Drosophila melanogaster: one gene and its partner. The protein of the gene in region 2 interacts with the protein of the main gene of each other region in a pairwise test. Each region holds a gene or a part of one and is shown on either strand. Other genes may lie near its edges.

Region 1 (7,612 bases), on a different chromosome or scaffold from region 2:
CAGTTTTGGCGTTTTTAGGGCGTTGGGGTGGGCGTGGCAAAAAGTTTTTTTTTCAAATCGATAGACATTTACATTACTAGAATCTGTATGCTGAATCCCAATCGTATAGCTTTTAAAGTTCCTGAGATCTCGACCTTCATACGGACAGCGAACAGACAGACACGGCTAGATCGATTCGGCTATTGATCGGGATCAAAAATATGTATATTTTATATAGTCGGAAACGCGTCCTACTGCCTGTTACATACTTTTCAACGAATCTAGTATACCCTTTTACTTGAGAAACTTGAGAGCAGTGTTATAGAGTGTTTTACTCTATAAAAAATCCTAATTATTTAAATAATTCTTTATTAACATTTATTTGTTTAATAGATTTGTAGAATCCGTTAATGTCGCTGAATGCCAGAAAGCAAGCATGCACACAATGCACCCCATTTTATAGATGAATGTTGCTATGAATCTTTATCTGATTAAGTGCTAAACCTACAACTAATGAAAACATGCATGTTGTACAAATTATCCATAGTAATTTGCAAACCGATCTAGCTTTTGATTAGTGAGTGGTGTTACCTACAGGCTTAATTGGCGATGGAATGCTGTTTTTTGTGTTTTCCATCTTCAAATCAGGCGCAATGGTTGTGGGTTCATAGGTTTTCTAAAAAACAAACACAATATTTATTTAGTCTACTGGGTTTTTAATCTCCTAGCTTCCTATAAAAGTATGTATCAGGTAGAAGGAAGCGTTTCCGACACAATAAAGTATATATATTCTTGATCAGGATCCATAACCGAATCGATTATTTTGTATGAATGTCGTTTGTATGTAAGTAAAGAATAATTTCAGATTTCATTGACAGACGCAGCACGAGTTTGTTTCTTTTTGTTGCACGCCCACTCTAACGCCCACAAGCCGCCCAAAACAGTCACGCCCACAAGTTTCTTTTCTGGTGTTGCCAGACCCACAGTTTTTTTTTTAATTTTATCATATGTCTTTCCGATTTCTATCGGTAACAATTATGCCCACCCAAATGCCCGAAAACCGCCAAAAATGTTATATATATTTTAAAAATGTAACGTCACAAAAGTTAATATGAAGACGTGTTTATATTTTTTAATAATTACACATGAATTTGTATTGAAATGAGCTATAAAACTGTGTATAGTCTTACTTACCGGTTCATTTAGCGAAACAAGGTCTGCTTTAGTGTTTTCGGCCGATAAATCAGATGCAATGGATGTTGGGTCATTGACATTCTAAAAATAAAGTACACTTTAAAGATCTAATCGAAATTGATAATGTATGATTTGCACGAAGCTGTAAGTAAACTTTTGTAAGCTGCGTATTAAAATAATGAAGTGCAGCTGAATGAATGTTCCAAAATTTTAAACCAAATCATACAATAATTAATAAATCAATTATAATATTAAACATATGCAATTAAACAACACAGTTCAAAGAGTCGTAGGCTTTTGCCTTATGTTTGACAAAATTTACTCTGCAGAACTGCAGAAGCTTAAATAATTATTTGCTTGTGCTCAAATATAAGCGTTATACCTAGATTAATACCCATGCAGAGTCAGAGTTTTTCGTATATATCTGAGTAGTTCCCCTATCCGTATCCGGTTCCGAAAAGCACATAGTTATAAAGCTTGACTATTTCCAACATTATTTTTTAAAACGCACTTTAAAACAAGAGAGAATGCTATAGTCGAGTTCGCCGACTATCAGATACCCGTTACTCAACTAGTGTGAATGCGAAGCCGAAATTTTATAATTATTATTGGATATCAATAGATATTGGGGAATAAAATGAGAAAAAAAATTTAACATTGTTTAAAAATGTGGGCGCGTCCGTTTTGATAGTTTTGTAGGTGAAAAAATGGGCGGACAACAGTGTTTTTGGTATACAGACAAAAATTGTATGCTTAATCTCAACCTTCTAGCTTTTTTAGTTCCTGAGATGTCAACTTTCATACAGGTGGACACTTCCAGATCGACTCGGCTATCGATCCAGATCAAGAATATATATACTTTATATGGTTGGAAACGCTTCCTTCTGACTGTTACATATTGATCAAAGATCTAGTATACCCTTTTACTTCACGAGTAACCGGTTTAGAATATGCAAAAGTGTGGGGATGACAGTTTCCGCGGTTGATGAACGTTGGAGTATGAGGGCCAATCTTTTAAAACCAACTTGCAGAAATGTCACTGGTATCAGAATGCTGAAAGTGCATATTCATATTCATATATATCTTGAAGTTTAAATGGACAAACAGGCGGAAATGGCGACAACAATTCTAAAAGAGATCCTAATCCATTCCGCCTTTTATCTGATTTTGAAGATTACGAGTAATCAGGACATTAATTCCTTAAACTTGTTAGAATTTCTTTAAAAATATAAAAACGTTTCAACAATATTTTTTTTTTACCTAAATCATGTTTTAAATATTATTGACTTAGATCCAAGTACCTGGACTAAGTTACTAAGTTACAAATACACATTTAGACTTTATGAAGTAAAAAATAAATGTAGCCTTTGCAGGGTATATGGTAAGTTAGGGCAACATTTGCTTTACTTTTTCTTTATAAATATTATGTTAAATAAAAAACATTTTTGAAGCTTGAAGGCGATAATTTAGGTCTGTTATTCTTAAAAATACAAATACTTTTTCCGACGAAGATTTAGTGGTATCCTGTGATTTGCAATTTTCGATAGCTTTATCATCTTCGCCTTTAATTAGAATGTTCGACGTGTCTTGAACAGGTGATTCGTTTTCCGCATTCGATGAATTTTCACCATTAGTACTCCCATCTATTAAGTCCAACTCGAAATTATTCTCAGAAACGGTGGACAAATTTTCCACAGATATTAATGGGTCCGTTTTAATAGATGCATCTATAATAATAGGGTTATTGGATTCGGAGTCTTCTATCTCAACAGTTCTCTCCATATCCGATGAGCTAATATCTAAAGACGGCTTGTCAATTAGTGCAGCTGGGTTTACTTCCAAATCTGTTGTATTTTTTTTCTCTGAATTACAGTCTTCAGATTCGCTTTCTTCAATTTTTAGATCGTCATCATCTTTATTATCTCTTGAAGTGACGGGTTTATCAAAACCACTGTCAATATAAGATACCAAGAGTTTTTCATTGAGATTATCATTATCTTGGGGAGTAGTTTTAATCTCATCAGCGTAATCTATTTGGGTTTCATTTTTTGTAGCAATTTCTTTCTCCTTTAGATTGTAGAAAATATGAGTTTGTAAAGTTTATTTCTATCTATTTATTAAATGGTAATATTACTATTATTTACATTAAAAATGATGGCAAAAAACGTAAACGGTATATTTAGTTAATAATTACAATAATTTATTTAAATAAATGTATTACCATTTTCTCTCTGAGAAAATTGTCAAAAGTAAATGTATAACAATGTAAAAGATGTAAAAAATCTTGTAAAAAATCTAAGCACTTTGAATTTTTTATAGGTGAATATTATATTTATATTAATTAATTAAATATTGTTTTTTGACTTACCTCAATATTTAAAGTAGAATCCATATCTAAAAGCTGTACAAATCTATAAAATAATAATAAAATGTAGAGAAAGGAATTTATATTTGTATCGTCTCAACAGGTAGGCAGGTCCTGCATTATTATTATTACATAAGGGTGTAATTTATAATAAAGCACATGCAACACACTCAGTTATAAAATATCGCATTTTATGCTGAATGTAAATACATATAGAGACACTCAAATAATGTTCGTTGGTGCTGTTATTATGTAATACATAGTGAGAAGCATATACAACATGAATGTTAATTTCTCTTCGACCACACTAACTTTTCTTTTTTTTAATATCCATAATAATAATTTACACGTACATATATCAAATATATCTTTTCACTTGCCTATTTCCCAATGTTATTTGTTTAAAAAAATATTTACTGCAAACAATACTGTAGTATCGAATTATTGAAAGATAATAATACAACTAAAATCCGTATAGGCCAATAGAATGAACATGAATTCATGCGCCTGCCTTTAAGAATATGATTGCACATCAAAGATAGCTTCCACACTGTCCACATGCTTATTTACTTGATTATCGGCTCGTTCGCATACAGCAATTTGGGAAATGTGTATTTAAAAGTCACACACAAATACATTTATTTTCACAAATACAAAAATATTTTCTCGTAAATTTATACGTATGTATACAGCATCTTTGTTCGGCAAACAAGCGCATCGATGAGAGCCCCTTTTATTGGAACGGAGTACTTTATTTACTATTTTTATAGTTATAAGTCGCAGTGTCTTATATGCACTTACATACATACCTTGTTTTTAAAACTTAAATTTACGAATGAGTAAAGTGCGAACCATCTTTAAGTTAACATCGCCCAAATTTGATTATATTCAAAGTAATATCTCGAGAAAATACTGTAACATGAATATACATATATCCATTGATGTTCGATATTTCTTTATAGATAGTAATATTCTCTTTTAGAGATGTTATATTAAGTACACCCAAAATCAAACCACTTTCAGAGGAAACTAATGACGATAACACGAACTTGAAGATACAATAGAAGAAAGAACACGCTCCCTACCTGTTACTTCTTACAATTGGATATAACCTTTCACAGTACGACTAAAAAATATAAATATATTACAAACAATTGTATACACGTTTGAATTTGAACCCTAATATTCATTCGTTGAAAACTAGAATGGCGGAGGGAAGAACTGCTGACCCATAAAGAATATACTTCGAATATTCGAGCAGAATCGCAAGCCAAGTTGATCTAGCAATGTACGTCCATTTTAATTTCGTGATCTTTAAAATTTTAAAAGCTAGAAAGCTAATTTTAGATACGTATGTTCTTAAAAGTCCGATCTTATGCCAATTTGGAACTCGTACACGTTTAAAAACTGTTATTCTTTTAGTCAATTTAGTTAATTGCTTGGACACAACAAAGCGCAAAAATCTGTTAGACCCAAACCTTCAAAAAAGGTACTAGAGTATCATTTGTAACGGACGCAAATACCAAGGTTGTTCAAAAATTTACAACATTTTGTTGTGTAATTGTTTATTTACCATAGTTTTCAAAAACACTGTCCTTCTTCTATCAACACAAAAGCTGACTTTGATGTATTAATATAACTATTATCCGGATTGCAAACACTATTGCGAATAATCTTATTTACATTCGCCTTTAAAATTCGAAAATTTACTTCTCCATAATCTAGATTGCTGTATAGAAAAATTGGTAGTCGGTTACTTATAAGCCATACATTTTGATCTTTTTCTTTGTCTACTTTTAAATCATTTGGAAATTGAATAAGATTTGAGTTTTCCATATTATGAAATTTTCCCAAATGTGCTCGAGTGTATGGTTTCGATGTATCCCAGCATCCAATATCATCTTGATGAACTTGTGTAAAAAACATAATGCCATTCCTTGTAACTCCTGATGTAGATGATTGAGAATTATATCCGCGGTCTCCAATTGGTATGAAGTACTTGGCGTACTCTTGAGTATTCGTTTGCCACACAGATTCGTTTAACAAGATATTCATAGGCACCATGAACTCCTAAATGAGAAAGTATTATAATCACAATTATTATTATTATTATATCAGTTACTCGTAGAGTATAAGGGATTGCTAGTTTGGTTAATAAAAATAAAACAGAAATAAGCCTTTTCGGACCCTACAAGCTGCAGATAATTAGCTTACTTAAGATTTAGATTTATTTAAGTACCTTAAGTAAGACTGATCAAGTAGTAAGCTGTAGGAGGGGTTTTTAAAAGTAAGTCGGCGAGCCATTATTTAGACAATAAAGACAATGTTAAGAAAGGCATTTTTTAAAATCAATATCAAATCAATTCCCAGCCATTTTCTTGTCTTTATTTATATACTCCTTATACTCACCTTGAAACTTGCCATTGGATGAAAATAAAGAACGCGTTCCATTATTTTCTTATTGTAATATATACTCATTCCAAAAACACCATCCAGCCATTGAAAATTTAATCCGTATACATTAAAATCCGAAGCAAAGGGATCCGGATAAAAGTTATAGTTGGTCACGCGCCAGCTGCGGTTTTTTGATAGGCTGTAAACAAGTAGACCAAATCTCCATACATCCGATACGATAGCATGCGCATCATCGCAATCTTCTCCAATATCCACAACAATATTGGAGTGCAACGAATCTTGCTTCACATGAGAAGCTTCCAAATTGTATCGAACAATCAGTTCGTCACTTTTAAGATCATACACAACAATTTTTGGTGGGCAGATCTGATTTAAGTTTATTGTAGCATTGACAATTCCAGAATCAATTAGCCAAATTCGATCACACCTATCTACAGCTGTTCGATAAACTGACATCAGTTTTGAGCAGTCAGGATTGTTTGGATTTCCATGAGCCTCCCAGTTTGGATACGGCTTTATTGCCGGGCTTGACTCTTTTGGAGGAAAGGGCAGTGTACCTAAGCTAGCAGGCACACCATTCTTCCAACGAGGAGTTGTCACAAACAGGCGGTTATTATGGACATCAATGCCTAAAGGTAAATTATTTTTTGGTACAAAGTCTCTGTAAATATTAATATATTATAATAATTAGACAGTAAATTCAGCGCAGTAGAATAACACATAAAGCCAGATTATGATAATCCTTTATGTAACAGTCTGTAACAGCCAGAAGGAAGCGTTTCTGACCATGTTCTATATGGTCATATACAATATTCTTTATAAGGATCAATAGCCAAGTCGAACTGGCCATGTACGTCGATCTTTATTTGCATTTGCATTTTCCCTAGCTGTGTAACGGGATTCTGATAGTCGGGGATCTCGACTATAGCATTAGAGATAATGCTAGGATTTATTCATCAATATTAAAGATATGGATGAGACGCACTGAATGATTCGAATGAAAAGAAAGTATTTATAAGAACTAGTCTCCTATAGTTTTCGAGATAAGATATTAATTTGTTAATTTTTTTTCGCATTCGCAGTTCCACGAGCTGATTAACGGATATCTGATAGTCGGGGATCTCGACTATTTGTGACATAAGAGCGTCAAATAGTTTATTTTTCGAATTTTCTTTTATACCTCTCACAATACAAGCATTTTAAATTTATTAAAGGCGTATTTTTTGATTTTTTTACTAGTACTACAATTTGTTATTAATATTAATACATTTTTCAAATTATCTCTTGATTTGTAAGAAACTGTTATAACCAAATTGTTTTGTTACCCATTTAAAATAGATTGTTGGCGTTGCACAAAAGTTGAGTATAGGAAATCCAAATATTTCCATTCATAAACGATCTCCAGTTGACTTTCACTCTGTAAGTTTTGCGAAAACGACTGCGAAGTATATTCATAGCCATCAAGTGTTTGGAAAACTGGTTGAACACTTAAGTTTCCATTTAAAGTCTTCGATAAAAAAACTAACTGTGTAATTATATTAAAGATAGTCATAGACTGCATCCTAGCTGAATATTAAATAAATAATTCTCAAAAATGTACTCTATGGAATCAATCGACCAGATCTACCAACGTTTAAAGACTGATTTAATGTATGTATG
Region 2 (7,490 bases):
CACATCATCACAATAGTACTGCCCATCATCGGGAGCACAGTTCGAATATCACAAACGAAGAAACTAGTCGTAATCACATACGAAATGAAGATGAAGATCCAGATCAGAATTCAAGTAAGACCCATTATAGTGCGGAAAGTCCGCCTCACCGGGAACGTCTCAAAAGACACAATAGGGTAGCCCATAGGAATCAGAAGAGACAGGATCTTTACGATACGCTTTATAAAAGATCAAAGAGGGAGAATGTCTACGATAGAAAGACGATCCATGGAGGAAATGCTATAAATTTTACGGAAACGGACGAGTCGAATTCGGTGTCCAGCTTTGAGACAGGACTATTTCAGTGTTTCAATGGAATGATCCTGCTGCAGGAGTTCTTCAGGCCAAAAAATGAATGCTCAAATCCGCACATAATGGACACTTCGCCCAACAAGAGTTCCATGGTGGTGCACAACGTCATCGAGGATGGGTACTACTATTATATATTCTACAGCGACAATGATCACGTTCAAAACGAGATCCACGCCATATTCGATATTTACAAGCCGACGTATCAGTACTCAAACATGAGCGAGTCACAAAGCTGTCTGAATACCACAAATTGCACATTCAACATCAGTTTCCTTTCGGATGAGATTGTGGTGGTGGAGGTTCCAACACGGGATGGTATCGAGCACGAGGAGGACGATATAACCAATCTGATCTCCACCTGTCATCCGCGCAGCGAGATATACGCCATCTTTCCCATTACGGTGCTGGTGCTGATCCTTTGCTGCTCCTTCCTGTAGTCCTCCTGATCCAATATTATTAATATACTATTGTGATATTTATGGTGAGGTAACTACCGGGTGATATACTCGCTTGTGAGTGTGTTAACGTTATGGCCGGCCCCAAAACGAGAGCTTTTAAAATAGCCATAGAATATTCCATATCGGTTATACACACACGGAATGAACAGTCTGAACAAATCGTTATCAATATTCGTAGATTTTATGCTAGACTAGAATGTAGCCTAAGACGCAAGCATTTTTTGGTCTACAAATGAAAATGGGAAAATAGTAAGATAAAATATGTAAATTGTATATCGTGTACAAATAAATGTAGATACCAAGTAATTTTAAGATGAAATTGTAGTACTTATCAATTAATTCAATTATTCTCATTTTATAAACGACTTTGATCTTTTTGTTTACCTGAACACATTTTAAAGACAATTCTTATGTAGTCATTTGAAGAGGATTAGTTTTAATGCTTTTGTTGACTTTGTATAAGTGATTTGAATTTTAAGGAAATTTTCATTAGTTTTTTAATAAAAATAAAATTGATTGTAATCAAGCGTTGTAATTTTTCATTTTATACTCAATGTCTACATTTTAACGTTGCCGCAAAATATTTTCCACTGGCTTCAGTTTTAGGAGAGAAAAAAAATTTTGTTGATTCTAGTTATTTTAGATTAATTTGCACACCACTCAAAGCTAATTTGCCGATCATTTGTGTGAGTCTTTTCCTAATTTGGCCACGGGAGTAATGCAAATATTTACATAAAATTCATGTACACATACATGCCTGGAAGAAATGAAATAACATTTTCATTAAAAATGAATAAATTTACTGTCTAGTCTTTTAGTTCATACACTCAATTGAGCAGCGTAAACAAAGTGCCTTGGATTATCCGATTAACATAGTTGCATTAGATTAAGTTATAAAAGAAAATAATAAAATAGTAAAAACAGTATTCAGTAAAAAAAAAATTATTTTTAAAGAAGGGAAAAAAAATGAAAAAAAAACATCATTCAAATTTAGCAGATCGTTGGGAACGTCAGCAAATGAAAGCTGATTGCTACGAATCTAATGTTGATCTACACTGTATATACTTGTGGTTGTGTAGATAATGTGTAAGATTACAGTAAAAAAAATAAAGTCAGTCAGCGATTTTTATACCCGTTACTCGTAGCTTAAGAGGGTATTCTCGACTTGTTGAAAAGGGTGTAACGGATCTTGACACGCGGCATTTTTATTTCGAAACATCACGCCGACACTTTTAAAACATTTTTTTTGAGTAACGGGTATCTGGTAGTCACGAAACTCGACTGTAGCGTTTAAAAAACTCCTGAACTCTCATTCGTTGCTCACTAATTAGAAGACAGAATTTGCCCTTATCAGAGTTGTCAGATAATGCTAACAAGAAATACTATCTTATCTGAAGTGATCGATTGCAAAAAGTTATATGAACTCATTAACCAGCCCCACATCAATAAATATTTATTAAAGGCATTCGTCACCAATTGCATTAATTTCGATTTCTGGGTTTAAAAATATTTAACGTATATTCACTAATTTTGGCTGACAACATGGAGTTACCTTAATAAATTTTCAAGTAGTCTATGTTCAGGTTTCGAATATGAAGTATTAGAAGTCTTTAGCATCACAGAAGCCGGTTGTTAATGTACAATAGATAACGAATCAAACAAAAACGTTTCTTAACGAGTTTGCGCGTATACATAACTTGTTTAATTACAGTTGCGATATCGCAAATTTTTAACGTACAATGCAAAAAATTTCTTGCATTCAAATTTGATGTTAGTTATATTTTCTAATAACGGTTTTGGACAACTATTTTTATAGCTTGTGAAATCTTACTAGAAAAAAAAAAAAAAAAAATACAAAAATCTTATATTTTTAAACGGGGTTTTCTCTATAACTTGGTAAAAAAAAGGTGGCACATCTAACGAAAAAAAACACTGTTTTATACTGCTCATAAGCATACCTAACTATCCCTATCATAATTTTAATGATTTTCAAAAATCAAAATTTGAACAAGTTTTCGGTAATTTTATATTCTTTCCTTTCTAGATTGTGATTTTTGGAGATATTTCAGACGTACAATTATCAATTTATATATTATGCACATATATTTGTATTCATTCTTTGAGAAAGTAATATTCGAAAGAGTGGACACAAATCTTAGAACCAACCCCAAAAACAAACCCTTAAGATAGTTTCCAACAGCTGTTTTGCCAAATATATGGTGACTAGTAGCGAGTGATGAGAGAAACAGGCCATTGATAAATCGAAGTCACACCACTTATATATACAAACTACATATCTTACCTATAATATTTTAGTTTAATAGAAGTTTTTTTTATAATTTTCAAATCACTCTCGCTCTTTATAGAAAGCCGGTACCGGTTTACACCCCCTTTCCGACACAAGCATATAAAAAGAACAGCGAGAGAGAGAGAGAGTGAGCTTTGGTTCTCTCACTTAATTCTGTTGATTGCACAGGTAGAAACAAATAACTTGTATACTGCGATATTTAAATTTATTTGTTTTTGTACTAATTTGTACTATATTCTGGTTAAATATGAAATAGTTAAAAATACTTATTGGGAACTGATATTTTAAATAATATATTTAATAATACTTGGTGTAATTAAATTCAAATTTTTTACTTTTATTGCACTAGACAGCAATAATAGCTTATGTTTCAACTTCGATCATAATCATAAATTTTTTTAATTTACAACTTTCAACATTTTCTTGCCAGTGTACTCTGTTCTCTTCGTTCTCGCTCGTGCTCAGTTTTAGAATTCGCGGCAGTTGTTTTTGTTTGTCCGGCGCGTTCGCTTGCTTCACTTATGCGCTTGTTGAAAATCAAGGAAAGGGCGCGGAAAATAAGTTTAATTAAATATTTCGAGTGGCTCGACTAACACAGCAATTAAGCGAATGTGCAAAACGTGAAAGCAGTTGTGAATAAAACGCACTCATCGCGAAATTAAAAGCTTTTTGGGAGCGTCCTGCGATGGAGAAACGCGTGAGGAAAAATCAATTCGTAAGTAAATGGGCGACGCGAAAAACGGTGATTTAAAAATCAAATGAAATGAAACGCGTGCGGAATTTACCTGAACGGAAAACTAATCGGTCAGCAAAAATTGCGTTTTGTGCCAAAACAGAAAGCGCAATAAATATAATATACAATTGCGCATATGGTGTATGTACATAGAGTGCAAGAAGAACGTGACAAGGAAGAGCAAACGAAGGTGAAGAGTGTGAATAAAACCAAAACAATAAGAACGAACAAGTTTAAGCCACTGTTACGGCAAGTAACGCACGAGAATATACATATGTACATATATTGGTTTCCAACTGGAAACTGAAATTGACTAGAAGGAAGTGGAAGGAAGAATTGCCTGACGGCCTTTCCTTCCAGTCCGGCCACTCACACTACCAAAGCCCCTTGCTGCAGGATGTTAAAATAAAGCTAATGAAGAAAAGAATTGAGAACAGTATAAAAAAAATAGCTAAACTCTTGGGTCCCCATTCCTAAAATATTTGTAAACTCTGATCCTATGCCTAAAAATTATAAAATCAATGCAAAAAGTTTAAATTATAAGGTACAGCATTTATTAAATTTAACGTTCTGTTCCAAGTGTGTTTGAGGCATTTAAGGCGACAACTCTAATATGTTATCTGTTTGAGGGTCGTTGGTCTTGAGTATTTTTAATAACCCGCTAAACACAAAGGAATATGTTGATAACTAGGCGAGAAGTGGCTTCCCAATTCGTGATGTCTTATCCTGGTGGTTGTTGTTGTCTCTGTTAATGTAATGACATTCCCCAAACAGCTGCATTTTGGTTTCTCGCTCTCCGGCTCTCTTCAGTTGTCATTTCCGTTATGCCCTGCCATGCACTCAGCCCTCCCCCTCTATTCCCTTTTGCATCCGGGGGGTGAATTAACTGCAGCCGAAACGCATTTACTTTAATTTATTTGTGGTTCCAGTGGGCGTCACTTTCTCTCCCTCTCATTTTTATCTCGACAGAGAGAGAGAGAGCAGCACATGCTATTGTGCGTGCATTTGTATTTGTATTTCTCGTCTCTGCTCTCTGATTAGCCTTCTCTTGTTATTGTTGCGGGGATAATTCATATGCAGATTGCACCTAGTGATTGCCATTCAAATTCAACTGATAGTGGAAGCTGGAACTTGTACTATAAACATACATATGGTTCTTCCTGCTTCAAGTAAAAAAACAGTAGCCATTTCCATCAGTCATCAAAGTAATGAACTCTCCTTGCAACATATGGGACTGAATAAGAATAGTACTTTATGCTACTTTTAGCATGTTTTCGTTTTCCAGAAGAGAACTACCTAGTAAATGAGTTTTAATAATTATGAATGACTCTAAAAGACTGATCCTTAAAGAGCTCCTTACTTAATGTATTATTACATTATTTTTAAAAATATTCAATACCAAGTCAAATAGTTTTTAATGTATTATTTCTTGTATTGGGTGTATTTGTTCTTAAATGTGTGTTATTTCGTAAAGCCAAAAATCTGAATTTGAATAGACTAACCCAATAACCTTAAACCAGCTGTGCCATGCCCCGCGGGCTATACTATAGAATATTGTTCAATGGCCCCAAAAAGGTGCCATTTCACGTGAGATTCAGGTGAATAGCGCTATACCTATTCATTAATCAGCAATCAATTATCTATCAGCAAAGCCTTTTAATCAATATTTAATTAAGAACTCACATTCCGACTTTTCTTCTTATACATTGCTTTTGTCGATGTCGTTTGAACAACAGAGTAATAGATATTGTTCATTGGGACAGAAAATAATAGTTACTTGAGAACTCTTATAGATAAGCTCTCCGTAAAGTATACAAAATTTTAAGGAATGGAATTCTTTAAGGTTGAACTAATGGCATAATCACTTTTCTCATTCGTTCGTTATATGAATCATATTAATATTTCCATTTTCATTTGCTGTATTGTACTATTACACGATGAACAAAGAAACAGAGTTTTAAAAACGAATGCCATGTTTTTTTTTTGTGCCTGATAACAATTCCGCAGTCCAGTTCCACTTTGATAAACAGCTGCCGACATCATTGTGCCAGTCCTTACTGTATTGTTTATCTGAAAGGGAAGTTACTGAAAGTGAATTGAAATAAAACGAGAATCATAGAGCCAAAACATTAAGTACAGGGTACTTTGCTTATACGGGCTCCAAAAATAAAATACAATAACTGAATTAAAATATTTGCGGGATCGCAGAGCGTGGCTGATTTTATTGACCGCAGATGAAAAGCGGCCAAACAAAACAATTGTACAATTGGTTTGGTTTCTGGTTTTAGTTTGTCTTTCTGGCCCATTCTGTTTTTACATTTTTTTTTTTAAATTACGATGAATGGACTGTCACGCTAGTCTGAGTATAGGGCAGCAAAAAAGCAAAAGGCACTCTATTAACTGAATGACATAATAATAAATTTAGTTTAGCTTAATTTCTATTAACAGGTGCTCCATTACGCGCTCTCGATGAATTAGTTAAGAACTAGATTATTATTATTATTATACATATATAGTGAATAAGAATTTAAGCTACATAAGTTGACTTTTGGGAAAACTTAACTACAATATTAAGCTGGTTTTGAAAAACCCATAAATATAGTTATGCTTATCTATTTGAGTTATGATGAGGTAAACGTTTTATGTCAAGGGTTCTACACACACACATTGAGGGAATTTTTTAAGCTTTACAATGCCACAAAATATTTTTTTTTATTATCTGTGCAAGGTACTACATCTTTGACGAGACAAACTGGTGTTATAATGTTTTATTATCTTTGGCTTTATCTGAGTACGCCACAAACACCGAAATTTCAAAGATAACAACTAAAATACGTAATAGCACGAATAAAGCTAATCACCATGGATATCAAATAGATCACTGAAATAGAATTGCCAGACAGTATGAATTATATACACGTTCATATTCGTGCTACCGAACAGTATGTGATTATATAATTTTCTTTTTTGCTCGACAAGTAATTTTTCAATTGGCCGCTGCAGTGCATGGGAATAGTTTTTGGATCGGCAATGGATCTAATATTAGAACATTTGTAAATACAATATTTGCCACGATTCGCAAACTTTTGTTTGTTATTCACTCCACGCAAATCGGGCATCCCAAAGGCGTTCGAATCTGATCAGTAGACTACAATGATAAGCAAATACGCGGTTAAATTGCGTTTAATTGCTATTGTACATTAGATTGGAGCGGCGATGTCGGTCTGACATGTTGTTCATGCTTAAATTTAATTAATTTGCAAATTACAATTGCAATTGCAAAGCGCCAAGCAAGTCGGGCAAACACACTGGTCTCTGATGTGCCACCCACACAACCTAGCATTGCATTCCCAGTTTACAATTGATAATTGCTGGGCTCAGGGGTCTATCTCAGATTTTCAAAATCCTTGACCTGGTGACTGCATATCCTCGGTGTGAATTGGTCTGAAGCTGTCGAAGTCATCGATGCGCAGCGGAATGGCGATGAGTTTAGCCAGGCCGTAAAATACGGCTAAGCACAGAAAAATGGTCAGAATCATTTGGCTGGGCGGCACTAAAAAACACATAATGTTTATAAAAACCTGCTTGTTAAATGTATGAACTCAGCAAACCCTTGCCGGTGAACCAAGGCAGTTTAGGA

The links.
Region 1: the proteins of C1GalTA (region 2) and CG1674 interact in a two-hybrid assay, tested with the Drosophila melanogaster proteins (one large-scale study listed by BioGRID).

Annotation. Positions count from the first base shown.
Region 1 is NC_004353.4:227,907-235,518, reverse strand, and holds the start of CG1674 (uncharacterized protein), read right to left. Parts: upstream 4,094-7,612; 5' UTR 3,919-4,093; exon of another isoform or gene 3,892-3,918; intron 3,670-3,891; exon of another isoform or gene 3,585-3,669; 5' UTR 3,566-3,584; coding exon 3,542-3,565; intron 3,241-3,541; coding exon of another isoform or gene 2,671-3,240; intron 1,255-2,670; coding exon 1,174-1,254; intron 656-1,173; coding exon 575-655; intron 1-574. Other genes in the region: yellow-h, read right to left, coding at 5,120-5,608, 5,948-6,614, 7,279-7,514.
Region 2 is NT_033779.5:8,947,320-8,954,809, reverse strand, and holds the start of C1GalTA (core 1 galactosyltransferase A), read left to right. Parts: upstream 1-3,593; 5' UTR 3,594-3,832; exon of another isoform or gene 3,833-4,040; intron 4,041-6,938; exon of another isoform or gene 6,939-7,248; coding exon of another isoform or gene 7,249-7,403; intron 7,404-7,461; coding exon of another isoform or gene 7,462-7,490. Other genes in the region: CG31886 (uncharacterized protein), read left to right, coding at 1-788; CG46397 (uncharacterized protein), read right to left, coding at 7,249-7,403, 7,462-7,490. UniProt on the Drosophila melanogaster protein: Glycosyltransferase that generates the core 1 O-glycan Gal-beta1-3GalNAc-alpha1-Ser/Thr (T antigen), which is a precursor for many extended O-glycans in glycoproteins.